Linked DNA regions of Stegostoma tigrinum. The protein of the gene in region 2 binds, or shares a complex with, the protein of the main gene of each other region. Links are inferred from orthologs where the notes say so. Each region holds a gene or a part of one and is shown on either strand. Other genes may lie near its edges. The genes, in order: dennd1b; rab35b; rusc2; arf-GAP with coiled-coil, ANK repeat and PH domain-containing protein 2-like.

The links.
Region 1: the proteins of rab35b (region 2) and dennd1b are in contact, whole or in part, in a crystal structure (PDB 3TW8), measured with the Homo sapiens proteins. The link is inferred for Stegostoma tigrinum from reciprocal best matches to the Homo sapiens genes RAB35 and DENND1B. Residues at the interface, in NP_006852.1 of Homo sapiens: Lys10, Leu12, Ser17, Ser36, Tyr37, Ile38, Thr39, Thr40, Ile41, Gly42, Val43, Asp44, Phe45, Gln60, Trp62, Thr64, Ala65, Gly66, Arg69, Phe70, Arg71, Thr72, Ile73, Thr74, Ser75, Thr76, Tyr77, Arg79, Gly80, Thr81; in NP_001182144.1 of Homo sapiens: Met1, Arg4, Glu43, Ser47, Phe51, Val72, Leu73, Thr74, Asp75, Ile76, Glu77, Ser78, His211, Glu212, Arg213, Arg214, Gln242, His243, Ile244, Ile246, Leu249, His252, Leu253, Asp255, Tyr256, Cys258, Ala259, Pro260, Met261, Pro262.
Region 3: the proteins of rab35b (region 2) and rusc2 are in contact, whole or in part, in a crystal structure (PDB 6IF2), measured with the Homo sapiens proteins. The link is inferred for Stegostoma tigrinum from reciprocal best matches to the Homo sapiens genes RAB35 and RUSC2. Residues at the interface, in NP_006852.1 of Homo sapiens: Asp4, Tyr5, Leu8, Phe9, Lys10, Ser22, Leu26, Asp30, Ile38, Thr40, Val43, Asp44, Phe45, Lys46, Ile47, Lys58, Gln60, Trp62, Thr76, Arg79, Gly80, His82; in NP_001129471.2 of Homo sapiens: Val997, Lys998, Asn1001, Asp1005, Val1008, Thr1013, Arg1015, Lys1020, Glu1119, Glu1155, Leu1158, Leu1159, Gln1161, Pro1162, Leu1165, Leu1166.
Region 4: the proteins of rab35b (region 2) and arf-GAP with coiled-coil, ANK repeat and PH domain-containing protein 2-like are in contact, whole or in part, in a crystal structure (PDB 6IF3), measured with the Homo sapiens proteins. The link is inferred for Stegostoma tigrinum from reciprocal best matches to the Homo sapiens genes RAB35 and ACAP2. Residues at the interface, in NP_006852.1 of Homo sapiens: Arg3, Asp4, Tyr5, Leu8, Ile41, Gly42, Val43, Asp44, Phe45, Ile47, Lys58, Gln60, Trp62, Phe70, Arg71, Thr72, Ile73, Thr76, Arg79; in NP_036419.3 of Homo sapiens: Val715, Ala718, Asn719, Ala720, Asp721, Val723, Thr724, Arg727, Leu728, Arg730, Met731, Glu734, Met735, Ser738, Glu748, Thr749, Gln751, Arg755, Asp756, Gln759, Met760.

Annotation. Positions count from the first base shown.
Region 1 is NC_081361.1:37,117,147-37,124,864, forward strand, and holds the start of dennd1b (DENN domain-containing protein 1B), read right to left. Parts: upstream 3,017-7,718; 5' UTR 2,804-3,016; coding exon 2,787-2,803; intron 1-2,786. UniProt on the Homo sapiens protein: Guanine nucleotide exchange factor (GEF) for RAB35 that acts as a regulator of T-cell receptor (TCR) internalization in TH2 cells. Acts by promoting the exchange of GDP to GTP, converting inactive GDP-bound RAB35 into its active GTP-bound form.
Region 2 is NC_081379.1:44,705,659-44,712,601, forward strand, and holds the start of rab35b (ras-related protein Rab-35b), read right to left. Parts: upstream 3,017-6,943; 5' UTR 2,913-3,016; coding exon 2,861-2,912; intron 1-2,860. UniProt on the Homo sapiens protein: The small GTPases Rab are key regulators of intracellular membrane trafficking, from the formation of transport vesicles to their fusion with membranes.
Region 3 is NC_081354.1:131,899,525-131,906,752, reverse strand, and holds the start of rusc2 (AP-4 complex accessory subunit RUSC2), read left to right. Parts: upstream 1-4,211; 5' UTR 4,212-4,324; intron 4,325-7,228. UniProt on the Homo sapiens protein: Associates with the adapter-like complex 4 (AP-4) and may therefore play a role in vesicular trafficking of proteins at the trans-Golgi network.
Region 4 is NC_081367.1:42,733,691-42,740,724, forward strand, and holds the start of arf-GAP with coiled-coil, ANK repeat and PH domain-containing protein 2-like, read right to left. Parts: upstream 3,011-7,034; 5' UTR 2,898-3,010; coding exon 2,845-2,897; intron 1-2,844. UniProt on the Homo sapiens protein: GTPase-activating protein (GAP) for ADP ribosylation factor 6 (ARF6). Doesn't show GAP activity for RAB35.

The DNA.
Region 1 (7,718 bases), on a different chromosome or scaffold from region 2:
AGGTAAATGGACAGGTGTTGCACCTTCACTGGTTACAGGGGAAGGTGCTGTGGGGTTGTGGGGAGTGTTGGGCGCATGAAGAAAGAGTGGACCAGAGTATCCCAGAGACAATGATCCCTGAGAAAGGTGGACAGGAGATGGGAGGAGAATATGTGTCTGGTGGTGGTACCTTCTGGAAGTGGTAGAAATGACGACTGATGATCTTCTGGATGTGGATGCTGGTGGGATGTAGTTAAGGACAAGGGTAAAAGGATCAAAAGATGCTTGCTATGAGAACATGTTTGTTGTGGTCATTTCCAGAGGATAAGTTGGGCCAAGCGGAGGACGGTGATAGTGGATGGATGGGTCCAGATCTTTGCTCCATGAAGAGGCGGAGAGCCTTGAGACCCCCCTGGTGGGAAACGGACATGTAAAGGCATTGTGCGTCCATGGTCAACAGGAGGCAGCTGGAACCTGCAAACTGGAAATTCTAAAACTGGCATAAAGTGTCAGAGGAATCATGGATGTACATGGGCAGGAATTGGGCCAGGAGAGAAAAGACTGGTGATGCTGAAGAGGCATGAAGAGATGAGTTCGGTGGGGCAGGAGCAGGCTGAAACAATGGGTCTGCCCAGACAGTCCTGTTTGTGGATTTTTGGAAGAGTTAGAAGCGAGCTGTGCGGCGCTAGGGGACTATTAGCTTCAAGGCAGTGGAGGAGCTCACCAAATGAAATGAGGTCAGTTACCAAAGCTGATACAATGGCCTGATGTGCCATGGTAGGGTCATGTTCCAGTGGAAGTTGTGAGTAGTTATCTCAGAGCTGGTGCTCAGCCTCTGCATTGTAGGAGTCAGTACACCAGAGTACAACAGCACCACCCTATTGGCAGGCTTAATAACAAAGTCAGGGTTAGATCTGAGTGCATGGAGTACAGTCAGTTTGGAGGGAGGTAGGTTGGATTTGGTGAGGGAGGCAGAAAAATTGAGGTAACCAATCTCACGTCAACAGTTCTCAACGAACAGATCGATTGCAGGTAAAAGGCTGAAGACAGGGGTCCCAGTGGAGGGAAAGTGTTGTAACTGGGCGAAGGGGGTCTGTGGAATGGGGAGAGGATTCCTGTCCAAAGAAATGGTGAAGACAGTGGATGAAGAGTCAACGTCAAGTTGTGCCGAAATTCATTAAGGTGGGGACATAAAGGGATAAAGTACAGAATGTTAAGCATCAGACAGCGGAAGGTTCGGAGAGATGGTGAATAACCAACAGGAGGTGGGGTTGGGGGAGGGGATGAGTCAGGGGGAGGGGAAGAGAGGGTTGGTTCAAATTCTTAGAAACAGTTCAAAATTGTTTCAAAAACTTTAACAGTTATGACAAGTCACTTCCAATCTTCCTGGGAATATCTTCCCACTGCACTTGCTTGTGTGCTTAATAGGCTAATTTAATCTACTTTGCAAATCCTTCAAACCAGAATGAATTTCCTCTGGCTGAAATTAATTTATGTTGGGCTATTACATTTTGGCACAAACTCTGCAAAATTGAATACAAGGCCCTGACTAACATCCATCACATTCGGTTCATGATCTAATTTCCACAGACGGATGGGAGCAGCCAGAAAGATTCTCAACCCCTTTCGATCTTTCATCGTTACACAGAAGGCATCATCATGTCTGGTAAGGTAGTGAAAAAAGTCACACTGCATGAGGAAATGAAGCTACCAACACCCTACTCCTCTTGCAAACCACAAAGAAACAACACCGACTGTCATTTCAACACAACCTCAAAATCCACAACAATTTCAGACCAGATTCAGCAGAAATGCACCAAAAATGTATCAACTCATTTTGGTCTCCAGAACTTCAAAGCTGCATTAGCTAGTGACCTCTTTCCACATTTCATTAGAAATGCTCAGGGAGAAAATTTCCACAGCAGCATTTCAGGTTTCATTCAGCGAGTACGAAAAGTCTATTGTATGAAGTGTGACAGCAGGTGTTCATGGCTGGTTCTCCAATCTTATCTCCTGGCCTGAGTTATGGGAAGAGAACCACTTCTGCTAGTTCTTGTACCCACACTGTACTGCCATTCCTAAGTGGTTTTCCAAATACTGGTATCCTGGTGGAAAGATGTCAAGATCACTTATATGACTGGTGAAAGTCCTCATATTAATAAATTCCAAACACTTCTGTTAAGGAATTTTCAATCATTTCTGGTTTTATGGCCACTCTGTAAACCCAAGTTATTTAAACTGTCACAGACTGGATTATCCTTAGTTTATTTGCTCATTCAGACTGCAGTTTATCGCCAATCATGCAGGTCTGTTTTGCAGATATAGCCAATGGAGAATGGCATTTTTCTGAAGCAAAAACGAGAGACTTAATTATTTTGCCATTTTCCTAACCTGAGTCGTTCTAGTTTTCATTTAGCGTACTGATGAATGAAAAGAACTAATGTAAGAATGTGCACATCATTTAAGATAAAATTGCAAGGAGAAATGCAACCCCCTTTTTGCTTTGCAAACCCGGCAGTGTACAGTATATTCTGGTTAAATGTGAAATGTTCCGCCTTCACGGTCAGCAATCTGATTTGGCAGAGAGAGAGAGAGAGAGAGAATGAGTACAGGCCTGAAGCCTCCAGAAATCAGCAAAACCAGAAACACAAACGCTTCTACTCTGCAACAAAAGCCAATCCTACCAATGATTGTAATGTGCCCCAGCCCCAGCCCCAGCCCCAGCCCAACCAGGTGCTTCACCCTTGTGGAAGTCTCCAGCTCTCAATGTACCCAGCCCAGGATCCCGACCTTCCCCAGTCACTCACTTCAGTCTACAGTCCATGGTTACGGCATCTCGGTGCGACTCCCCCCCCTTGGTGTCTCCTCTGTCTGTCTGTGTCCCAGCCGCCAGGGCAGCCCCAGACGTACAGACTGCGCTGTGGCTAAAAGAGCAGCGCGGCTCTTGATTCGGCTTCGGCTCCTCACTGAACCATTGCCCTGCAGCCGCTGTTCCTCCACCAGGACCTCGCCAACACACACACACACAAGACAAACTAGGAAGTTAGCACTCACTGACAAGAGAAGGTTAACAACGTCACCTGACTGAGTCCAACTACAGGAAGCTCACAAGAGTGATCTCACTCAAGTGGATGAAATGTACGGTGGAATGAATGGACTTAGTTTTGTAACGAGTAGATTGAATCTCGCTGAAAATGAACATCAACATTAGCTGGAGAAAACAAATCAAGCAAAATAAAAACGTCCAGACGGGCGTTCTGTACCTATATTATCGCTGTCTTTTTTTTCGAAATTATCTTCTTCGTTATTTTTCGGGCCCAACTCTGTTTATTTAACCTTAAACCTCAAATCCCAATGTTGCTCAACTCTGTGGCTCGTCTTCTACATCCACAAGGAAGCTTACCGCCACCCCGGCCCCCGAAACGAAAAAGTCATCAAAGTGTTTTTATTTAATAAAAAGCTGTTCCGACCAAATATCAATTAATGCCGAGGAATTTCCCCATAAATAGTCCCAATCGGGCAAATAATGCACTCAATCCTGTGTGACACCGCGTCAGGAGGGCCCCATGTCATCGCAATTTTCTACGAGCGTGTTGCCGTAGTTCTGAATGATGATTTGGCATGTCAGTGTTGGCACACCGATTTCATTACAGCATGATGGGTGTGAAATTGCCCATCCTCTTGCACTGTGAAAAGCAACTTGGATATGAGCTAGAGTTTCTTCCTCTAAATATATGACAACAGATTTTAAACTACACAATCAACGTGCTGTCGCTGACAATAATGCGAACAATATACCATGTGATAACGGCTGGTAAATATCAACTCAGGAAGCAGATTGTCATAACATTAATGCATATATTTGCTCTATTGCATTTTTCTAAACACAGTGTCGACATAGAGACCACAGACTTTTTCTATTTTGATGTCTGTGAAGTTGTCTTCAGACTGCTGAGTTCAGGGATGAGTTTAAGAAATGACTTGCAAGAACCCACATTACACTTACTCAGTATTACTTGACATATTTAAAGATTCACGAGTCATCAAATATAAAATAAAGCAGCAGTTGGAAAGATTTATTAGAATGGGGAATCAAATGCTTAGCAAGAGTTTTAAAACCAGACTTAGAGACAGAATGAACCAAGGAACATATATGACTCAGTGGCTAGCCCTGCAGCCTCACAGTACCAGGGTTTGATTCCAGCCTTGGGCAACTGTGCGAAGTTTGCATATTCTCCCAGCGTATGTGTTGGTTTCCTCTGAGCGCTCTAGTTTCCTTCCTTCCACAGTCCAAAGATGTGCAGGTAAGGTGGATTGTCCATGCTAAATTGCCTATAGTGTCCAGGGATGCACAGGCTATGTGGATTAGCAATGAAAAATCAGGGTAACAGGGATGGGGTGGGAGTGGGTAGGCTGCAGTCTGGGGGCTGGTGTGACTTGATGGGAAGAATGGCTTGTTTCCACACTGTAGAGATTCTGTGATGAAGAGTGGTCCATGAGGCAAAGAAATTGTGAAGGATCTGCAACCTGACTCTATCTATCCAACATTATCACATTTGTTTTTATTCATTCATCGGACGTAGATGTCACTGACTGGGCCACCGTTTATTGCCTATCTGTAGTTGTCCTTGAAAAGGTAGTGATGGAACTGCTACAGTTCCTTTGCTGTATGTAAACCCTCAATGCCATCCAAAATTTTGGTTCAGCGACAGTGAAGGAACAATGATATATTTCCAAGTAAGGATGGCAAGTGGCTTGGAGGGGCACTTGCAGATGGTGTTCTCATGTATCTACCACCCTTGTCCTTCTACATGGAAGTGATCGTGGTTTAGAACCATCGTGAATTTCTGCAATGTATCTTGTAGGTACATACTGATGCTACTCAGCATAAGTGATAAATAGTGGGAAAGAATATTTGTGGATATGATGATTTTACTTGGATGGTGTCAACATTCTTGAGTGTTGTTTCCAGGAGTTTTTACCCAATCTGCCTGAAAATCCACAATGGGCAGCCAAGCAAAGCATTTTAAAGGACAATTGATGCCTAATTGCCTGCAGCAATATAGTCTCCTGTATCAACTGACCTCATAAATGGAGCCTCAAGGTTGAGTCAGGTATAGCCAAAGCTAAAGGAATTCTTGGATAACAATGTGTAGAGCTGGATGAACACGGCAGGCCAGGCAGCATCAGAGGAGCAGGAAAGCTGAAGGGCTCAGACCCGAAACATCAGCTTTCCTGCTCCTCTGATGCTGCCTGGCCTGCTGTGTTCGTCCAGCTCTACACCTTGTTATGGCTAAAGGAATTCTTGCTCTCTCCACACTGATTGTGCAAGCAGCTCTGAGCCTTTTCACCACTTCCATTTTGATGCGCCATTGTAGTTCCTATCTACCTCAGTAGTGTCCGCCTCTCTCAATGTGGCAAGAGTCAAGATATTCTTATGTTATCTCCCTTTGCACCAGCGACATCCATATCCCAGCTGTTAGCCTTTATTGGAGCGAATATGTTTTCTTGACCTGTTAATTGGTTGTCCAGGATGCACCTCTGACATGAGTACTCACAAATGGTTCCACCAACTTAATTTTTTTTAAAGTAGAGCAGATTCCACCCTTTGTGTGTTTCCAAAATTCATTCCTGAAAGGTCTGACTAATCATTAACTGCACTGTCCTACACTTGACAACTGGTGGAATTTATTTCAATGAATCTGCCCAACTATTCCTTCAATATCTTTCAATCTTTGATCATTAGAAAATAGTCCATGCTTGTATTCTTCCTACCAAAGTGCATAATCTCACATTTCCTCACATAGTATTCCATCTGCCTTTTCTTTGCCTACTCTTCTCACCTGTCCAAGTCCTCCTGCAGTCTCCTCGCTTCCTCAGCATGACCCACGCCTCCAAATATCTTTGTATCACTCGCAAACTTAGCAACAATGCCCTCAGTTCATTTGTCATAATCATAAATGTGTAATGTGAAAAGTGTGGTCCCAATTGTGGAAATCCACTAAACACTGGCTGCCATCCTGAAAAGCCCCCTTTGTCCTTGCTCTTTGAATCTGGCGGTCAGCCAATCCTCTATATATGCCAGTACCTTGCCTTTAACATAATAGGCTCTTGTATTATTTATCAGCATCCTGTGCAGCACCTTGTCAAAGGCATTCTCGAAATCCAAATACATCATGTCCACTGACTCTTCTTTGTCGAACTTCTTTGTTACCTCTTCAAAGAATTCTAACAGATTTGTCAGGCGTGACCTCCCCTTGATGAAGCCATGCTGGCTCAGCCCTATTTTACCACACACTTAAAGTATTCTGCAATCTCATCCTTGATAATGGATTCTGAAATCCTAACAACAATTGAAGTCACATTAACAAGCCTATAGTTTCCTATATGCTGCCTCACTCCCTCCCACCTTAAATAGGGGTGTTAAATGATCCATTTTCCAGTCCTTTGGTACTGTCCCTGACTCTAGTGATTCCTGAAAGATCACCACTACAATCTCCTTAGTTATCTCCTGCAGGACACTGGGTGGTCCGGTCTGGGTGATTCATCCACCATCAGACCTTTCAGTTTCCCCAGCACCTTCTCAGTGATAGCCTCTACACTCACCTCTTCCCGGTAACTCTCTTGAAGTTGTGGTATGCTGCTTGTGTCTTCCATATATAAACTCTTGCAAAGTACCTATTCAGTTCCTCCACCATTTCTTTGTTCCCCATTACTACTTCTCCGGCCTTGTTATCAAGTAGTCCATTAAGAACTGTTGCTTCTCTCTTCGATACTTAAAAATAACTCTTCCAATCTTCTTTTATATCACTAGCCAGCTTAATCACATATTCTCATCCCCCATCCCCATTGCTTTTTTAGTTATCCTCTACTGGTTTTTAAAGGCTTCCCACTAATCTTCACCACACTGTATGTTTATTGTTTTGCTTTTGCGCTGGCCTTGACTTCCCTTGTCAGCCATGTTTAATTCATCTTCCTCTTACTGTGCTTCTTCCTCCCTGGGGTGAGATTTCAGCTGTGCTCTGGAAATACATCCAGAAACTCCTGCCATTGCTGCTCCACCATCTTATGTCGTAGAATCCCTCCAGTGTGGAAACAGGCCATTCAGCCCATCAAGTCCACACCAACCCCTCCGAACCACTTCCCTACGTTTCCCATTGCTAATCCACCTAGCCTCCACATCTCTGGACACAATGGGCAATTTAGCATGGTCAAGCCACCTAACCTGCACACCTTTGGACTATGGGAGGAAATTGTAGCATCCAGAGAAAACCCACGCAGACACGAGGAGAATGTGCAAACCGTGCACAGACACCTAAGGGTGGATTCAAACCTGGGCCCTTGACACTGTAAGGCAGCAGTGCCAACCAGTGAGCCACCGTGCTGCACCTTCCTCGCAATATTCCTCTTCAAGTCAACTCTGGACAGTTCCTCCCTCATGTTTTTGTAATTGCGTTTATTCAATGATTATACCATTACATCTTCTCCCTCTCAAATTTCCTCATGAATTCTATCATATTAAGGTCACGGCCCCCAAGGTATTCCATCACCTTAAGCCCTCTTATCAAGTCTGCTTCGTTACACATCACTGTTCCCTAGTGGGTTATGCCACAAGCTGATCCAAAAAAAAATCTTGAAGACATTCCACAAATTCCTTTTTTTCAGCTTCACAACCAACCTGATTTTTCCAGTCCACCTACATGTTGAAGATCCCTCTTGGTGATTATAATAAGGTCTTT
Region 2 (6,943 bases):
GGAACTGCTCTCATCTTTTCTTGATTTTAGCCAGAGAATCTCCTACAATGGCTTCTCTTTTCATGATATCACCTCAGGAGATGTCTAAAGGAGATTGTCCCTAAAGGAGATTAAAAGCTAAGGTAGAATTTTTTTTTGAAGAATAAAGGAACTAAAGGATACGGCGAGAGCGCAGTTAAGTGGATCTGAGTCCATGAAAAGATCAGCCATGATCTTACTGAATGGAGGAGCAGGCTCAAAGGGCTGGATTACTCCTGTTCCTAGTTCTTATGTTCCTTGCATGGCACCTCTCAGTGACAACAAAAGCAGAGTCAAGTTCCACAAGCAGACCGTGAACACCTACCTCTATCTCCCCCAGCACTTGCCTCCCACACCCGAAAGATGTCTTGTTTGACAACCAGTTCTGGGTAAGAGGGATTTTCTCCAATTAAATATTACAGATGCTCAAGCCACGATCTGCAGCTGCCATGACAAACTCTACTCCCAAGTAATCCGTGTCATCTCTCACTCTCTCAAGGTTAAGCACATTATAAATTATGCCCAAGTTGTCTAAGCCTTAAAATAGAATTCCCCACTGTGTTCACGTTTAAAACCAATCGCAGAAAAAAACCTACTCCATTCTTTGGTTTGATGTTAATGAGACAGTCAGCCAAAAATCAAATGGCTTGAAATGCTGTGTGTTAGAGGCGCTATATAAATGCACGTTGTTTGGTATTAACAATTTCTTTTTCCAAAACAGGACAATGCAAAACAGTATCATGTTCAGACTCTTAAAACAAAGATATCTTCACATCACTAATGTATATTCTAGAAGACCAGCACATCAACCTAATAACAAAGCTAAGCCAGTAAAGTCTCCACTTACAAATCCGTTAACTAAAATATCAGGAATTGGTGAAGAGCTCCCATCTCTGAAACATATCTGACAGACGCCTGTGCACCTTTCATTACAAAAGCCAGCATTGTCTCTTTCTGCACAAGAAATTTTAAGACTCTTTGAACCAGGATGGATTGGTATGCTGGACGTTCTCTCTCACTCACCGACATACTGTCACTATATCTCACAGATTGGCGTGTAGAACACAGATAACCCCTGGATACCTTCACTCAAACTTGCTCAATAGCTAGACTCTCAAACACTGACTTACCCTAGGGAGAGAAGTCAAAGAAGCAGATCCACTGATTTCATTCCCAGGTCCCCTCAAACTCTGGCCTGGTCTTTTGGCTCAACTGCCCACTGGTATTTAACTCACCACTTTTTGGTGATCAAAATCAATGACTTAAACTTAGTTGCACAGGGCACAATTTAAAAAAAAATACAAGTGATAAAACTTGGATGCAAATTGAACTATGGAGAGTGTAGAAATAAACAAGCTGGCAAAATGCACAGACACAAGGCAGATGAAACTTAATGCAGGACAGCAAGGTGATACATTTTGGCAAGAGGCGGCAATATAAACCGAACTAACATGGTGCATGGACAGAGACATGTGGTTTAATGTGCACAAATTGCTGGTGGCAACAAGGCACACAGATAGCAGTTCATAGGGTATACAAGATTCTCAGCTTTAATGATTAAAGGCATAGAATACAAAGCAAATAAAAATTTTGATGAACCTTCATAATGTACTGGTTCCAGCATCAACTACTACCCCTCACAGACTTCAGAAGGGATGCAAAGACTTTATAAGGGCACAGCAAACATTTACAAGAATGGCTCCAAGGACAAAGGACTTCAGTTAAGTGGGATAGACTAAGAGAAGCTGCATCTTCTCTTTTGGAGACAGGATTCAGAACAGATTTGATACAGGTACTCAAAATCATGAGAAGTCTACACAGTAGAGAACACAAACTTTTCCCAATGGTAAAAGATGGAATTTAAAGTTAAAAACACCCACCTAACTGGCACAGACATGCTGGGCCGAAGGGCCTCTATTTGTGCTGTAGTTCTCAACAATTCTATTGCAAAAGAAATTGGGGTGCAGAGGAAACCAATTTAACCTGACTGGTAAAAAGGAACCAATAGCAACATTAGGAAGAGCCTCCCCCACCCCACACAGCAACTGGTTAGTATCTGTGTTGCACTTCCTGAGTATATAGTGGAGGCAGATTCAATTGTGACATTCCAAAGACATTCAGATGAATACAAGAGCAGGAAAAAAAATTGCAGTGCAGCTAACCAAGCTGGAAAGCAGTCTGTAGAAAGCCTGGGCAGCTCAGGATAAGTGGCATCATTCTCTGCTGTTATGATTCCAAGATTCCCTTACACTACTCCTGGTGTTGCTCACACTCACCAACACACAAGCACAATCATTAGTTGCCAACACTTAACTGAGACTACCACAATGAACTCAGCCCACAGAGACTCCTTCCCTAACCTCCATGCTCCCCAGACTGCCTCCCACAACAGCCCTACTCCCGAGACTCCCCCTGCCTATTAGGCTCCTTCCCCTATCACACCACCCCGACCCTCCCCTAGACTTGTCCCCTTCCAACCTCAGGGCTAATTCCCTCCATTCCCAACCCCAGACTCCCTGATCCTACCCACCTGCCAAGCCAGACCCTCACCCAGCCTCTACCATCAGACTCCCTCCCTATCCCTACTTCCACAACCTCCACCCATGTTTCCCCTGTCTGTTTCCACCTCAGGAGCTCGATAATCTCCGGTCCTCCACCCCAGGTATGTTCACTGGAGCGCCGCAAATCCCTTCTCAAAACTCGACTTCTGACAAAAAAAAAAGTATCTGTCCAGTCGGCTGCGGCCTGGCTGCCTCTGGCTCCCCTTCCTCAGCCTGTGCAGACGTAGGGCCCGGCCTGTTTCCTGTCGCCGCCGCGCTCGGTTTCCCCGGCTGCTCCTTACCGCTGTCCCCGATGATGAGCAGTTTAAAGAGATGATCATAATCCCTGGCCATGGCAGCGGCGCTGAGCAGACAGCTCGGTTCAGTCTCTCAGTGGCGACGCCGCTTCCTCCGGCTGTTTGTGCAGGGCGGCTGCGACTATCCGGCTCCCGCTATGATCGGCTCTTTCCGGAATTACTCGAGTACACCCGCCTTCCGGAAATAGCACCGGCTTCCATCACCTCGGCTTTTTCCGGAGTCGCGCTGCGCCCGTCTCTCCGAGGGCCAGATGTTCGGCTATTTCCGGCACCTTCACTCCGAGGCCCCGGCGTTCGGTTCTTTCCGGCTCCGTCGCTGCGAGTCCCAGGTGTTCGACTTTTTCCGGCAAATGTCAGCTCCGCGGGTCTTGGCTGTTTTCTTAATGGTTTGGTTTTTACCTGTCGGGACTTGGAGCATCTGGTTGAAAAAGTTTCAGATTCCTTCTAGACGTGATGCTTCTGCGACCGCGATCTCTCCCAGGAAAACAGATGTTACTCTGAACCAGGTAAACTAACACAAAAGACCACTCGGCCTATCCAAACCCTGCTGGATTTCTGCAAGAGAAAATCAGCGGTTTCCAGTCATATTCCCACCCACTTTTCCCTGTACCTCCCAACCAATTTCTCTTCAACAGCACACCCAATTAACTTTTGAACTGAATTTGCTAAAACCGTCTTAAACTCAGGCAATATATTCCGTTAGAAATAGGAACAGAAGTAGACCATTTAGCCCCTCAAATCTACTTCATGTTTCCCCTAATAATTAAGAATGTATCAAGCTGAGCCTTACAAGGACTCCGCCTCCACAGCTCTCTGTGGCAAGGAGTTCCAAAGACTCACAACCCTCTGAGAAGAGAAATTCCTTCTCATCTGAGTCTTAAATTGGCACCCCTTCATTCCAGGACAATGCCCTTTGAACCTAGACTCTCTCATGAGGGAAGCATGGCCTCAGCATTTTACCATGTCAAGCTACCTAAGAATCCTAGCTATATGTTTCAATCAGATCACCTCTCATTCTTCTAAAATCCAGTGAGTAGAGTCTCAACCTGTTCAATTTTTGTTCATAAAACAAACCCTTCATACCAGAGATCATCCTAGTAAACCTTCCTTCAACTGCCTTCAATAATATCTTTCCTTACATAAGGGGACCAAAACTGCTCACAGTTCTCCAGATGTGGTCTCACCACCAGTTACAATAAGATTTCTTCATACTCTGATCCTCTTGAAATAAGGGCTAACATTCCATAAGCTCCCTGACTTTTGCTGCACCATGTGCTAACTTTCAGGGTTTTGTGCAAAATTACACCCAGGCCCTTGCATTTTCAGTATCCTCCCCTCCACTGCCTCCAGCCTTATTGTCACCCAACCCTGCACTGTCTGGTTCTGCCTGCTTCCCAAGATTCACAAGCTCAACTCCCTAGCTGACCCGTTGTCACCTCATGCTCCTGCCCCACCAAACTTATCTCTTCCTACTTCGACTCCATTCTCTCCCCTTTAGTCAAGGCACTACCCCCCATCACCGCCCCCCCCTTGACATCTAGGACACAAACCACGACCTCCACCTCTTTAGAAACTTCCAGTTCTGTAGCCCCCAGCACTTCACCTTTACGATGCAATTCGCATACACATCCATACCTCACAAGAATGGCCTACAGGCCCTCAGTTTTTTTCCTCTCCAACAGATCCACTCAAATGCCACCCACCCCATATCTTCCTGTGCCTTGCCGAGCTAGTCCTCATCCTCAATAACTTTTCCTTCAATTCGTCCCACTTGCTCCAAATCCAGGGGGTTTCCATGAGCACTCGCATGGGCCCCAGCTAAGCCTGCCTCTTTGCCCGTTATGTCAAACAGTCCCTCTTCAGTACTATACTGGTACTGTTCCCCAATTGTTCCACTATTACATCAATTGATGCTGCATCCTGCACCCAGGCTGAACTGGAGCAGTTTCTTCATTTCAAACATTTCTTCACTCAAATGGTAGTGAACTGGTGGAATTCTCTACCACAGAAGGCAGTGGAGATGAGGCTACTGCAAATTCAAGAAATAGATAGTTTTTCTTAGATTTTAAAAGCATACGGAGAAAACAGGAATAAGGCATTGAGATAAGAGGAGCAGGCTCCTCGTTTTTGACATGAAGAATGAATGAATCCTGTTTTCATCTGTTAAAATTGCCCACCAAAGGGCTGTTATGGTGCAGTGGTAGTGTCGCTGCCTGAGTCAGTTCACGTCCCAGAGATAGTGTGATCTGCAGATACTGGAGAATCCGAGATAACAAAGTGTGGAGCTGGATGAACACAGCAGGCCAAGCAGCATCTTAGGAGCACAAAAGCTGATGTTTCGGGCCTAGACCTTTCATCAGAAAAGGGGGATGGGGAGAGTGTTCTGAAATAAATAGGGAGAGAGGGGGAGGCAGACTGAAGATGGATACAGGAGAAGATAGGTGGAGAGGAGAGTATAGGTGGGGAGATAGGGAGGGGTTAGGTCAGTCCAGGGAGGACGGACAGGTCAAGGGGGCGGGATGAGGTTAATAGGTAGGAAATGGAGGTGTGGCTTGAGGTGGGAGGAGAGGATAGGTGAGAGGAAGATCTGGTTGGGGAGGCGGGCACGAGCTGGGCTGGCCACTAAAGACATTTTTTCATCCCCACCCTTGTCTGCCTTCCGGAGAGACCACTCTCTCTGGGACTCCCTTGTCCGCTCCACACTCCCTTCCAACCCCACCACACCTGGCACTTTCCGCTGCAACCGCAGGAAGTGTTACACTTGCCCCCACACTTCCTCCCTCACCCCCATCCCAGGCCCCAAGATGACTTTCCACATCAAGCAGATGTTCACCTGCACATTCGCCAATGTAGTATACTGCATCCGCTCTACCCGTTGTGGTTTCCTCTACATTTGAGAAACCAAGTGGAAGCTTGGGGACCGCTTTGCAGAACACCTACCCTCGGTTCACAATAAACAACTGCACCTCCCAGTCACGAACCATTTTAACTCCCCCTCCCATTCCTTAGACGACATGTCCATCATGGGCCTCCTGCAGTGCCACAATGATGCCACCCGAAGGTTGCAGGAACAGCAAATCATATTCCGCTTGGGAACCCTGCAGCCCAATGGTATCAATGTGGACTTCACAACCTTCAAAATCTCCCCTCCTGCCACTGCATCCCAAAACCAGCCCAGCTCGTCCCTGCCTCCCTAACCTGTTCTTCCTCTCACTTATCCCCTCCTCCCACCTCAAGTGGCACCTCCATTTCCTACCTACTAACCTCATCCTGCCCCCTTGACCTGCCTGTCCTCCCTGGACTGATCTATCCCCTCCCTACCTCCCCACCTATACTCTCCTCTCCACCTATCTTCTCCTGTATCCATCTTCGGTCTGCCTCCTCCTCTCTCCCTATTTATTTCGGAATCCTCTCCCCATACCCCTTTTCTGATGAAGGGTCTCAGCCCGAAACGTCAGCTTTTGTGCTCCTGAGATGCTGCTTGGCCTGCTGTGTTCATCCAGCTCCATACTTTGTTATCTCAGTTCAAGTCCCACCTGTTCCCGGGGTGTAATAAAACAATGATTAGATAGTGATGATTAGAAAATATCAAAAACTGCACACTATTCCAGGATTAACCCAGAATACCAAGATAATGCCAGTTTCTTTTCTTTGTAAACTGCACTCGTGCAATCCTGTTCTTTACCCATTCTTGCTCATCCAGTCATAGCCAGAGCGTCAGCTTCTCTTCCCACTTCTGCAACATCAGTTCTGGTGTCCCCCAGGGGTCTATTCATTGTATTCTACTTCAAATTCATATGCTGCTCTTGACAATAGCTTCCACAACAAGTGTCAGTTTTCACACACAGACTGATTACATTTAACTATTAAGACAGAAAGATTATTTTCACATTTATCCACGTGTTTACTCACTTTAGTACTTTTCTCAACTGTCTCTAAATTGCTACATTAGTCATCAGGTATATGAGCAGAAATTTCCTTCAGCTAAATATTGGAAGTGCAAAGCCATTTGTCTTTGGTCATCACCACAAATCTGTTCCCTAATCAGACTTTTACCTGGCAACTGAT
Region 3 (7,228 bases), on a different chromosome or scaffold from region 2:
ACGGCATGCCTGCTGTTATTAGCCAGGGCTTTGAGTTTAAAAATTGGTCAGTAATGTTGCAGCTTTATAGGATCTTATTAGGCTCTATTTGGAATATTGTGTTCAATTCTGGTCACCACACTACCAGAAGGATGTGCTGGCTTTGGAGAGGGCACAGAAAAGATTTACCAGGCTGTTGCCTGGTATGGAGGGCATTAGCTACGGAGGAGAGTTTGGAGAAACTTGAGTTGTTCTCACTAAAGCAATGGAGGTTGAGGGGTGACCTAATAGAGGCCTACAAGATTATGAAGGGCGTGGACAGTCAGAAGCTTTTTCCCAGGGTTAAAGAGTCAGTTACCAGGGGCCATGGGTTTAAGGTGCGGTGTGCAAGGTTTAAAGGTGATGTATGAGGCAAGTTTTTTTTTACATAGAGGGTGGTGGGTGCCTGAAACTCGCTGCCAGGGGAGGTAGTGGAAGCAGATACTATAGCAATGTTTAAAGGATGTCTTGACAAATATACAAACAGGGAGGGTAGGGGGTTTTAGTTGTGATGGGCAGCATGTTGGCGCAGGCACAGAGGACCAAAGGGCCCATTCCCGTGCTGTAATTTTCTTTGTTCTATAAAGGCTCAATGATGGTTTCAGAGGGATGAGCATTGGACTTATACTGCAAACTCCTCATGTAGACATAATAGCTTTGAAGAGCTAGCTTTTTTTCTCACTAGACAAGTTGGGGATTTAAAATGTTAAAGTGAATTTGTTCCCTAATGGGGAGCTAGAGTACATCAGTAAGATGGATGAACCAGACCATTTCTTGATTTAGAACATTGGCAGTAGAATGTTGGATGATCTCAAGCAATTTATGAAAGAAAATTGGAAACTAGCCAGGAAAGCATTGGAATAGATATTGAAATAAGGAAACAACGAATGAGAGGCTTAAAGTCGGTCAGCTGAAATTGAATCAAGGCCATATTTGGACAATGTTACAAAGTTGGAAGCTGACAAGCATGGTCATAGAATCATACAGCATGGAAATAGACCCTTCATTCCTACCAGAACATGTTGAATGTAGTCCCAAACTAAATTAGTCCCACCTGTCTGCTCCTGGCCCATATCCTTCTTATTCATGTACATATCCAAATGTATTTTAAATGTCATAATTGTACCTGTATCCACCACTTCCTCAGGAATTTCATTCCACACTCTCTATCAAAAAAAATCTGTCACTTGTATCTTATTTAAATCACTCCTGTCTCAACTTAAAAATGTGCCCCCTTGTTTGATATTCCCCCTTCCTAGGGAAAACATAACTATCATTAACTCTGTCTATACCTTGTCTTATAAACTTTAATCAGGTCACCTTGCAACCTCATCTCTCCAGTGAAAAATGTCCCAGCCTAAGCAGCCTTTCTTAATAACACACACCTTCCGTACCCAGCAACATCCTGGTAAATCTCTTCTGAACCCTGACCAGCTGAATAATATTCTTCCTGTTCTGGGAGACCAGAATTTGACACAGTATTCCAGAAAAGGTCTCACTGATGTCCTGTGAAGCCTCAACATGAGGTCCCAACTCCTGTACTCAGCAATGAAGGTAAGTGTGCAAAATGCCTTTTTAACCACCCTCTCTAAATGTGACGCAAACTTCAAAGAATTATGTACTTGCACCCCTAGGTCCCTTTGTTCTATTAGCGTATCCAAGGCCCAACCATTAATTGTACAAGCCCTACCCTTGTTTGTTGTACCAAAATGCATTTATCCAGATTGAACTCCCCCTGTCATTTTTCAGCCCATTGACCCATTTGATCAAGATCCCCATGTAATCTTAGAAAACCTTCTTCGCTGTGTACAATGCAACTAATTTTAGTGCCGTTTGCAAAGTTACTAACTGGTTTGAAACTCATTATAGGGTTAAATGAGCAGCCATGATTGCAGGCGGTCTGGTTCAGCTTCATTCAGTTGCTAACAACAGGATGAAGTCAGTCACTAAAGAACTGAGTCGACCGGTTGGGAAGATTGCCACTGTCTTCAGTTGTTGACACAGACAGTGACTGTACAGAGTGATAATCTTCCCTATGTTGGCGGGGGAGTCTGTCCTTGTAGTACTGAATGTCGGATAATCAGTATGACAAAATAAGACTGAGACAACTCGAGTACTTCAGTTAACATTAATTGGTTGCTTCTGTGAAGTAACAAAATTTATGCAGCCTGTTTAAAGTTATTATTATGAAAAGGGCCCAAAACAGCTTTGCTTTTAAATTCTTTTCATTCCGTGCAGCCCACTGTTTCCTGGCTCACACTGCTCCTTTTTCAAAGGAATACAGCATTTTCAAGTTTAAGGCTGCTGAACTGCACTGCCATTTAATTTACAAAACTCAACCTAATATACCAGTTATTGTCAGTGCCCCTGACTATAGTTCAGTCCCAGCAGTAATGCATCAACTGAAGCATTATTCAGAAATAGTTATGTTCATGTTTGATGGCTTTAAATTATGCTTTTGTATTGGAGCTACAACTAGATAACAGATGGCCAGACTGGCCAAGGCACAGTCTCTGAAAACCTTTTGCATTTGATATTCCTAGGTAAATTCCCAAATCCATTAGACTCTTGGAGTGTCTCTCTGTGTTCCTAAGTGGTTTTTGTGGCTCTGGAAGAAGCTCAATGGGATAATAATGTCCAAAGATATCTATCAATTTGGGAGTGTCCAAAATTTAGTCCTGTACAAAAATTACAGATCTAAGGATATATAAAGAGACAGTTTTTAAAATCTTACAACTCATGAGAAAGAGCTAACTTTCTGTGCTGTTCTGAGGAAGATCGAGATGTAACATTCACCAAATGATGTCATGTTGCTCTTCATTTTGGCATTTCTTTTGCTCAGATCACTTTACAGTTTCTTTCTCTTGAAAACCGGAACAAATGGAGTGTTCAAATTGAATGTCTGCAAAACCTTAGCTTAATTATATTTTTTGGGAACACGTCAAACATTTTTTTTTTCATGAAACTTATAAATGCGCATTTTAAATAGGTGTTCATCATATTTTCGAACACCAATCTAAGCTTTTTAACATTTTCCTCAAAGCAATTTTAAATCTTTGAGGCTTATGAACAGCATCTTGTTTTTGGGTGAGTTTTGAGGAGTCGGGGCAGGGGTCCTGGATTGTGGTCGCAGGGTAATCGGCTAACATTAATTCTGAAATACTCCCCTATCAACAAGACAAAGTATTGGTCTTCCACAGCCATTGTATAGCAGAGAAGGCACCGTTTCCACCTGGGAGGCCTACAAGAGTTATAACAGCCTAAGGTTTGGGTCACTACTGACAACCTGCCAAGTTCCCTGTCTGATCCTCACGGGCTTTATTGCTACCTCTATTCTCTCTGAACACAGTTTGACTGGGTGGAACTCGTGTAAAGGAGGTAGAATGGAGAACTTGTTCTCCTTGTCAGGCTGTTCAAAAACCTGTTTACAATGGCAGCCATGAGTGTAAGGACTCAGGTGATTACAGTGGAAGTACGAAATTTTATACCCCTTATTTGTGCAAGGTTGTTAGGTGATCCAGACTTCTGGTTGGGCAAGGAGCTCTTAACATCTGGTAGGTTAGCATTTCCGGAACTGCTGCAAAGGTTATTACACACCAGTCCTCATGCTATGTTAGCACACCAATCAACCCATCGCATGTACACCAAATGCACAATAACTTTCAGAGAGAAGCATTTGAAACTTGAGAAGTCACAGGATTCACTGCCCTTCTCCCCGCAACCGTCTGGGTTCCTCCCTTTCCGCTGACCGGGTCTTTTGGTAGCAGCATTGAAGCCTCTTTGCAAACACACTGGGACTTTTAGTAGGGTTTTAGTTTGATATTTGTAAAAATTAATATTTGGTGAAAAGCAAGGTTTGCTTCCTCCAGTGCGTACTACTCTAATTCCTTAAGCAGGTCTTCTGCCATAATATCCCTATTCAGTTCTTCTAATATATAGGGAGCAGTTAGGTGGGGGATCATTTAAAAGCATCACTCTAGATCCAGATGTGAAGTTCTAAACACTTTGGTCTGAGGAGAAGAATATTGTCACTCATGTCTACTCCCATATCTATGTCAAGATGACAGACGTGGAGTAGCGGTGTTTGGGCTTCTGCTCATCTACTGCTTTCTTCTGTCCATTTCTGCTTTTGTTTTCTTTCTACTTTGCTCTTTATAGTTCTCTCACCTTATCCCTCTGGGAGTTTGGCAGCGGTGAAACTGGTGACATCGGCGACAGCAGCAAGTTTTGGGACATTCAGGAAGGTTGTGTAGTCTGATATTGCAATTGATTCCAAGATGTTGGCGTCTGCGAGTTGGGCCCAGGGGTGAGTAATGGCATCGAAGCATGGCGAATTCAAAGTTAGTGGGTCCTTTGCAGGTGGCGGTGAGGCGCAGAATTTGAGGTCGTGGCGTTGGCAATGTTGGTGGGTCCAGCGTGGGCAGCATGGATGAGCCTGGCTCAAGACTCGCAGCAGCAGCAGCAGTAAGGATGACCTGGACATTTTTTCTTTCTTTCAATTGTGTTTCTTTAACTTCTGTTTCTTGTTTTTAGTTCTAACTATTATATTCTAAAATGACACCAGAGAATGGCGAGCCTGTACGCTTGCACAGTACTCCTTTACTCCGGTACACGTGATGATAGATAAAGTCAAAAATTTATTGTAATTCTTCCCTCATGGTCCTAGCCTGGGCTGGTGACGGGTCTGTATGCATTTGTGAACTCCTCTTTAACTTTACCCGGTGGCCATTCTTTGCTTCCCTCTTGCTTAGTTTTTAACCATGGCTTTTGTGATCATACAAACCAGTTTTGGTTCACCATACAAGAGAGGAAGGATTGCTCTCAACTACATTGTCCCAGCGATGCCTGAAATCACCAAGGAAACCATTTCTTGTACTTGCTATCTCAGCATGGTCACTTTATTCTACTGGCTGAGAATGCAGAAATAATTGCTTAGCTAATTTCTTTCTGGAGATTGTTTACTTTGTCTATATATGGAATGTGGTCTGCTTCAGGGGAAGCAAAGTTTTTTTTCTGAATTAATTCTCTGATTTACTCATCCTTTACCTTATCCTGCAATCATGCATTCTCTGCATGTAACTCTGTATCATGTTTGAATTTTTTTTGTTTCTTTTTAATAGTGTGCTTTGTTTGCATGTTTCTCCCTCCTGCCTTAATTGAGTATGTAAGCTGCCACTTCCACTTTGAACCTGTTCCTTGGACTCCTTGTATTTTCATTTAGCTGCAAGGTGCACATTTGGTTGAGTAGGTCACCTTTTTCCAGACTTTTTTAAAAAAGTTTGATCTTACCCTTCTGAGCCTTCATTGAAAGTCTATAAAGAATAGACTTGTAATCCACATCACAAACATCTACCACTTCTAATATATTTTTTGCTTCAGCTGCCCTGGTTTTCAGAATCAAACTTTCTCATAAACTGCTATCTCTAAATCATATAGAATCCCTAATGTGCAGGCAGAGGCCATTTGGCCTATTAAGTCTGCATAGACCCTCTGAAGAACATCCCACCCTACCCCCGTAACCCCACATTTACTATATTTAACCCACCTAACCTGCACATCTATGGACACTATGGGAAATTTAGCGTGGCCAATCCATCTAACCTGCACATCTTTGGACTGTGGGGGTAAATTGGAGCGCCTGGAGGAAACCCACACAGTCACGGGTAAGTGCAGCCTCCACAAAGACAGCTGGAATCGAACCTGGGTCCCTCATGTTGTGCGGAAGTAGTAGTCACCCTGGTGCTGCTCAAGCTGTCAGTTTACTTGAGAATTATTCAACACATTTAATTACAATCTCAAAATAAAGCCTCGATGTCTACGATACCCCACACCGCTGATATTTTTGGGGCTGTAATCTATGCTGCCTCGATCACCTGTCTAAGCTCTCTCAGCCAGTGATCATGGGCAGCTGTTCATGGTGCCAGGATGATTTACCCTTGTCTGCCTCTATTTGAGCATTAGTTTTCATTTCTTCTAAGAACAAAAATGTATTTTCCAAAATGCTTCATATGGGGTCAAATAGCGTGTTGCCTGATAAATCTTCTGTAAATGTGTATGGAAGGTTAATTCTGTAACAGAATTAAAATGAAGTTTCTTGCTATGCAGCAGATGCTAAGTACTGAATACAAAGAGAACATTATTTTAAGAGACCCCAATTTCTAACATGTTAAGATAGTGTTTTAAAAATATGCATCATTACTTCTTTACTTTTGTGGCCTGTGCCCTTATGTATAAAATCCAGCATCCTGTATGCTTTTTTAACCATCTTCAATAATTCATACAATCTAGGTCTCTGTTCTTACATCTCCATTAGAATTGCATTCTTCTGTTAATCTTCTCCGTCCTTGCAGTTCTGAAGAAGGGTTAGTGGACTTGAAACATTAACTCTGCTTTCTCTCCAAAGATGCTGCCAGACTTGCTGAGTTTCTCTGGCAATTTCTGCTTTTGTTTCAGACTACCAGCATCCACAGTTCTTTGTTTTATATCTATGGCTACTTTGGGTAGACTGGATTGATATTTTTGGGGCAGTTGTCTCATTCTGTGCCCAAGATTTTCGATATGCTTCATAAATTTTACAAAGCACATTGAATGAGTATTGGAAGATCTCCCAAGGTTTGGAGGGAACAGTAGTGTGCAGGTGTGTCATCCTCCACTAACAGTATCTGTAAGTGGAGGTAGTTGTTTTCTTTCACTTCAATGATTAGCCCATTAGAATGGAAATGGAATTTTTCTTTTATTTATTTGTAGAATGTGGGCATCACAGTCTGGCCAGCATTTATTGCCTGTCCTGAGTTGTCCTTGAGATGCTTTCTTGAACTGCTGGAAGGAATTCCTGTAGGGAATTCTAAGATTTTGACCAAAGTTTGCCCTACATAATAATCCCTGCTTTGTTGCTGAGTCCTTTTCATGGAGCAGTGATTTTCACTTAGTCATTCAAAAACCTGAGAACATACTAACCTGAACTTGCTCCTGAGATAGTAGGAACTGCAGATGCTGGAGAACAACAAGGTGTAGGGCTGGATAGCAGGCCAAGCAGGAAAGCTGACGTTTCGGGCCTAGACCCAAGAGGCAACACATCAGCATGGAGTATGTCTAGGCCCGAAACGTCAGCTTTCCTGGTCCTCTGAATCTACTCCTGATTGGCCACCCTGTTCTCATGCACAGACTTTGATCATTCATTGAGTCACCAATAAAAGCATAGAGCAAATCA
Region 4 (7,034 bases), on a different chromosome or scaffold from region 2:
ACAAATATTTTGATCAAGCAACCAGTCTTAAGCATACTATTCTTAAAAACAAAACTACGAAAGGAATTTGTGGTTCTATGTTAAAGTAATGAGAAATACATTGCAGCCAACAATCAAATCTGAAATCTCAACGTGACATTCCCCATAAATTGTTCAACTTTGGTCACTTGCAATTTAAGTCATTCTCATTGGAGATCATTGCACTACTAAAACAGGAAATATTTTAGTTCCACATTTATAAATTCAACAGGCAAAGTAAGGAATTTACTTTCAAAGCTAATGAAGAAAACAATGCAAAATGGAAGCCATGTTTCTTGGTTATTCCTTTTGCTTGCCCAATCACATTTTACTCTAAGCAGTCGCCAAAACAAAAAAAAATCCATATACACGATTGAGACACTGAAGAAATTAACAATGCCCTTTGTACTGCAGCTCTGGAGTTTAAAAAAAACAAACAGATAGGTTGAGAATATTTGCACATTTTAGCTCCTACTGCACATGATCACACATGCCAAACTGAATAACCACCTCATGGTAAAACAAGTGGCATCAGATGCTGCAACGTGTATATTGCCATTAGACAAACTAATGTTTCTTCTGAACGTACGATTATTTGGCCAACATACAACTTGATTGCAAGAACTGGTGTCAACACGGACAAAGTGAATTATCAGCTGAACAATAAGATTCAGAATCAGATGAGCAGATTAAATTGCACTTCAGAACTGAATACAAAATACAGACTAATCAATCAATACCATGAATGTCCTTGCCAACGAAGAGCCACAATCAACACTGCCAAAAAAGTGAACACAAGAAAGTAAGAAATAGGAGGAGTAGGCCAATCGGCCCTTCGCACCTGCTCTGCCATTCAGTAAGATTACAGCTGATGTTTTCAGACTTAACCACGAGCTCACCATAACCCTTAATTTTTTAAGGTTCAAAAATGTCTTTACCTTAGAAAGATTCAACAAGTTAGCCTCAACTGCCTGGATTCCAGAGATTCACAACCTTTTGGGTGAAGAAGTTCTTCCTCAACTCAGTCCTAAACCTGCTCTCTCATTGATGTTACACCCCCTAGTTCTAGTTTCACCCAGCAGTGGAAGCAGCATCAGTGCTTCTACCTTATAGAAATATAAAAATTATGAAGAGAATGGATAAGATGAACACCCCACATTCTTCTAAATTTCATTTAGTGTAGACCCATTCTTAATCTCTCCTCATAAGCCAATTCTCTCAAGTCCAAAATCAGCCTAGTTAAACAGTCTCTGCACCTCCTCCCACACCAGTATATCCTTCTCAAATAAGGAGTCCAAAACTATGCACAGCACAATATACAGTTGCAGCATAACCTCCTCGCTTTTGCACTCCATCCCTCTAGCAATGAAAGACAACATCCAATTTGCCTTCCGATTACCTGCTGCACCTGCAAAGCAACTTATTGCCATTCACACACAACAATGCCCATGCACAGCAGCATGCTGCAATTCTTCATCATTTAAACAAGTCCACTTTGCTGTTATTCCTACTAAAACAAAATGGCTAGCCTCACATTTACCAACATCATGGTACATCTGCCAGACCCTTGCCCACTCATTCAACCTATCCATATCCCTCTGCAGGCTTTCAACATCCTCTGCACACTTTGCTCCATCACTGATCTAAGTGTTATCTACAAACTAACACTTTTCACTTGGTCTCCAACTCAAATCATCCACGCAAATTGTTTACAATTGCAGTTCCAACACTGATCCCTGAGGCACATCACTCACCACTGATCGCCAACCAGAATAAACACCCATTTACCCGACTCTTCCTTTCTGCTGGTTAACCAGATCAATGTTGTTGTTTTAATGAGCTCTTGCTATGCAAGATGGCTGCAAAATTATCTACATTAACAGTTAAAATTAGTTCAGAGCTGCCGTGAAAAATTGAAAGGTAGCTGAAATTAGACTGTTTACCAGAGGAGAGGCACAAACAGATTGGTTAAGCTGAACACGTTTGCATGCCAGTAGCTATATTTATGTAACATAAAAACTTCTCTTTCTTCACTTTCATGAAGTCAAATTCACAGTAAACTCAAAGTGACTCTTTACTTAAAATCAATAAAGAATCATGTCTACAGATGTGAAAGATCAGACTGGATGCTAATCCAAAGCAAGAAAACACAAGTGAATTTTATTGTTTTCAGAGCAAAAGTTAGAAATTTTAAAGATTAAAAACCTTCCAACCTTTTAGAATTGTAAATTCAAGAATTATTCCCAAAACATTAAATGCATCTTAATAATAATGTCAATGACATCAAAAAAATTCAGACATCAAAAACTTTACAGTAGCTGATTTTAACAATTTCAGCCATACAAACCTCATAATGAGTGTATTATAGATACCTGTACCAACCAACATTGAGAAGTGTTAGAACAAGAATGCAAATCAAGGATAATTGGATTGGTAGCACAAGGACCATCCCATCCCTTCCCTTAAAAAAAACTGCTGGGATCAGACATTTACACTATAAACATGAGCGCATAAGATGGCCAAAAACAAAAGACAGCTAACTTTATAGAAAAAAACTCACAAAACTTACAAAGCTTACAATTAAAATTTAACTGATTATTACTTTGGATACGCATACTACGTAGAGTTTGCTGAAATACGATTTAAAACAGCGAAGGAAAAACAAACGATAAACAAGATCGAAATGAAGCACAGATCCTCCTTTCCAGCTTTACAAACAGAAGCACTCTAACACGACCAGATGGGAGAGGCATCCGGAGAGGGAACTGAGCGACAAGGCATTCCTGCCCACAATGACCAAGGATCATTACTGGAACAACGGCCTACCTGAAACGTGGAGAGTCGTTCAGACATTCATCGAAATCCACTGTCAACTTCATAGCGCCTGGACACAACCTACCACGAACCACCGTCCTCGCTCGCCGTCCGCCGTCTATCTAACGCGCAGCCCCTACCCCCACCCGCTACTCACTCGCTCTCGTGCAGCCGGGCACACGAGCGCTGTGATTGACAGCGATCTAACCAATCAGAGCTGCCTCGTCCAACCAAGGCAACCAACCATGTGGCGGAAGTGGCAACAGCCGCTCTCCCTGCGGGGAGTGAGTCCACAGGCCAGTCCGACCCTGTCCTGATCCAGTCCTGGATTCGGCTCGGGGTCCGGTTCCGGCTCGGGGTCGAAGTCCAGTCCGGGACTCAATGCAGAGCTAACACAATGTGGAGCTGGAGGGACACAGCAGGCCAGGCAGCATTAGAGAAGCAGGAAAGTTGACGTTTCAGGTTGGGACCTTTCTTCGGAAATGGGCTTTAATATAGGACTCAAATGCAAATGACAGTGATTTATCGTCAAGAGTGTTCACCAAAACAATCGAGTGGGAAGAGGAAAAGGTAAAATATTTACAAATAAATGATTTTACGAATGATCGAATGAGTACCGTAACAGTAAATAAAGGTTACCATTGTCGCCATCTGTTGGGACATTTCCATAGTTTGAGGTGTATCTTCTGGAGTTCTGAACAAGACCATCTCTTATTGAATAAGAACAGGAAGTGCTGGAGAAACTCAGCAGGTCTGGTAGCATCTATGCAGAGAAAGCAGAGTTAACGTTTCGAGTCCGAGGTCACCCGGCAATTTCTGCTTTTGCTTCAGAATAGTTGTTTTTTATTTTTTTTTAAACAAACTCTTGTTTTGTTTTGTTGATTGGCTTAAAGGTATCTAGCTCACAGAAGTCTTTTTTCGTTTTAGATATTTGCGTAGTTACTTAATTCACAAACCATTCAAAAGTGTAAAGGTTCCAATGAAATCGCAGATCTGTTATACATTGGTTCTAACAAATTCCCGAACTTGGACAGAATGGAAAATGAAGTAGAAAAGTGAATAATGATATGCTTTTAAACAGGGTTGCAGTCAATTGGACAGTAAAATACTGGTCTAAATTTAGAATAAGATGTTTGACGTTACTGAAAAAAATATTTCTGGGAAAAAATACAGGTCATACGCAAAATCTAAACAATAGCTTTAAGATTGTTTATTATTGCCCCCATTATTCAACACTTATGTTAACAATAACATTAATGTTTACAATAAATCATGAGCCAAACTTTTTTGGCTCCACATAACATGTATGACATATAACATAAAACAGCATTGCAATTAGTTCTCACCAGTAGAAAGACTTGAAGAAAGAAACATAATGAAAGTTAACTTCCATTTTCATGATTTCTTATGATGGAAAAGTCATTATGTAGTTTGCAGAATTATATTGGTCTTGTAATGTCTGCATTATTTCAAATGTACACATTTTGCACAATGCTATGCAGCTGCAGTGTGATTTCCTATGCCACAATATCAGATAGTAACAGATATGAGAAGGCTTTTGACCAGCTTCATTCAACACTGCAGAGACCTAATCCCACCAGCATCGACCAACACTGTCCATATTTGTTTCTTAAAATATCTTACTTATATTGCCAACTGCCTCTCAGAACTCTTATGCATTGATCAATCTTGGTCTAAAAAGAATTTCCTGCTTTCAGTTAAATTAACCTTTTGTCAAGTTTATGTCCCTTTATCTTAGTGTCAATATGAAAATGTTATTCCAGATTTAGCTTTTCCATGATCTTACCTACATAATAAATATACACACATGCATAGTAGTTCACAAACAAAACTTGCATTGTGGCTGGACTAATTGGGCCACTTTTGAAATACTGCATGCAATTCCAGTCTCCCTGCTATAGGAAGGATGTTGTGAAAAATGAAAGGATTCAAAAGAGATTTACAAAGATGTTGTCAAGGGTTGGAAGGTTTGAGCTATAGGGAAAAGCTGAATTGGTTGGGGCTATTTTTCCTGACGCATGAGAGGCTGACCTTATAGAGGCTCATAAAATCATGAGGGGCATGGATAGGGTGAACAGACAAGGTCTTTTCTGGGTGAGGGGGTGTGGTGAGTCCAAAATTAAAGGGCACAGGTTTAATCTGAGAGGGTAAAGATTTAAGAGAGACCTAAGGGGCAGCTTTTTCACGCAGAGTGTGATGCGCTTGTGGAATGAGCTGCCAGGGGAAGTAGTGTAGGCTGATACAATTATAACATTTACAAGGCATCTGGATGGGTATATGAATAGGAAGGGTTTAGAGGGATATGGGCCAAATACTGGAAAATGGGACAAGAATAATTTTGGATATCTGGTCAGCATGGACAAGTTGGACAAAAGGGTCTGTTTGTATGCTGTAAAGGTCTATGATTCTATAACAGGATTGACCTGTGTGCAGTTGAGTCTGATTGTGTGTATGTATGTGTCAATACAATATCTCCTTTAAGGCAAGGTGATCTGGAGATTATACTGAAAGATGGTTAATTGGTTCCCTGTTTAAGACAGCATTAAGTTCCAAGAATTGCCCCATTGGCCCCTCCTTGTAAAGGGGATGATTAGTGAGGAAACAAGGGAACGGAGGACTACAACATTGCAAGAACATATATAAGTAACAACACACGCCGATAAGGAAACTCTAAGCCTCTAGTCTTATTGTCTTACTGGAGGCAGTACTATAACCGAAAATACTGCCCAACCTGATTGTTACCTAGGCCAAGTTTTCCCAGAACAGAGTTAAAAATGTATCTCTTGGAATTTGGACAGGTAACCCAATTACAAGGGAAAGACCCTATCACCAAATTTAGTTTATTTTTGATCAAATACCCATTTTCTATGTTTCCTTTTTATTAGCTAACACCAGAAGATTCATTCAGTATAGATATTTCACCTAACCTAAATCATTAAATTCATTACCGTTGAGCTGTTAGTATCAATTACCTACACTTCAAACTCATTCTGAACCTAACACTTTCAAGCATCAAGGTAATATGACTTTCTTGTTTGATGGATACCCTTACTTTCCTTTAAGGTCCTGAACTTGCATTAAGTAGAGGTTGAAGTTGCATCCCCTCATAGAAGTAAGAACAAATTATCCTTTCCTTTTCCGGGAATGAGGTACTGATGACTGTATCTAAGAAGTGTCTCTGAACAGATCAGTAAAAATAAAGATTTTCACTGCACAGTCAGTAAGGAGCACAGTCAGTTTGAAGGAGACTTCACTTGAGTCAGACAAAGGCTGAGTGGTGAATTGGAAATTTAATTCAAGTGGGAAATTGATGCAAAGGGCAGCAGAAGTGTTTTATCTAAGGGTTTACTGCAAGAATTAAGTGCTATAGAATGAAAGGTGACTGGTAGGTAATAAAAGGAGTGGATCAAGAGGTCTAACTGCAGTGATATCAGAGACAGATGGATGTCATGAACCACAACATGAAATGAGAATGTGATTAGTGAGTAGAATTGATGGCTATTTCTGGACTTTAAGAACAGAAAGATGAAAAACACTGGATACCTGAAGATATTGTTTCTTTAGAAAAAAAGAGAGAGCTGGGTAACTATAAAGTTATAGTGGTAATTTTTTTAAAATCTGAAAATATCATTACAGTGAAGTAATTAGTTTATAATTTAACTCATTACATGAGAGTTGGCAGGACAGGTGACGTGTAGCTGTAGCATGTGGAAGATTCTGGGCACCAATGTGAACCAGAGTGAACACATCTTTAGTAAATATTTGCAGTTCAGAGATTTTCAGATCCTTGTTGACGTGCTGGACTCTCAGCTATGATATTGCACCATATCAGGGAAGGGGAGAGTTACCTGAAGGCATTGTTCCAGAAAGTGATCCCATCCCTGCAGACTAGATAAGTCAAATTTGTCCGTGACCTGTAATAACCACTGGGGAAGGTATGGTGTTGCAGGGGTTGCATCTGAGGCACCTTGGCCACTGAATTTGTCCAACAGCTACAAAGTTCTTGTAAGCTGCATAAACATGAGTAGGGGCTGCTGGGAGAATGAGTGAGTTGACCACAGCACTGTGGTCCAGGAAGCCATTCAAGTGAGGAGAGAAAATATAAATGTAGTAGTGGTAGGGGACAGCATAATTAGGGGGCTAGATCATTTCTCTGTAGCTGTTAAGAGGGAATCCCGAAG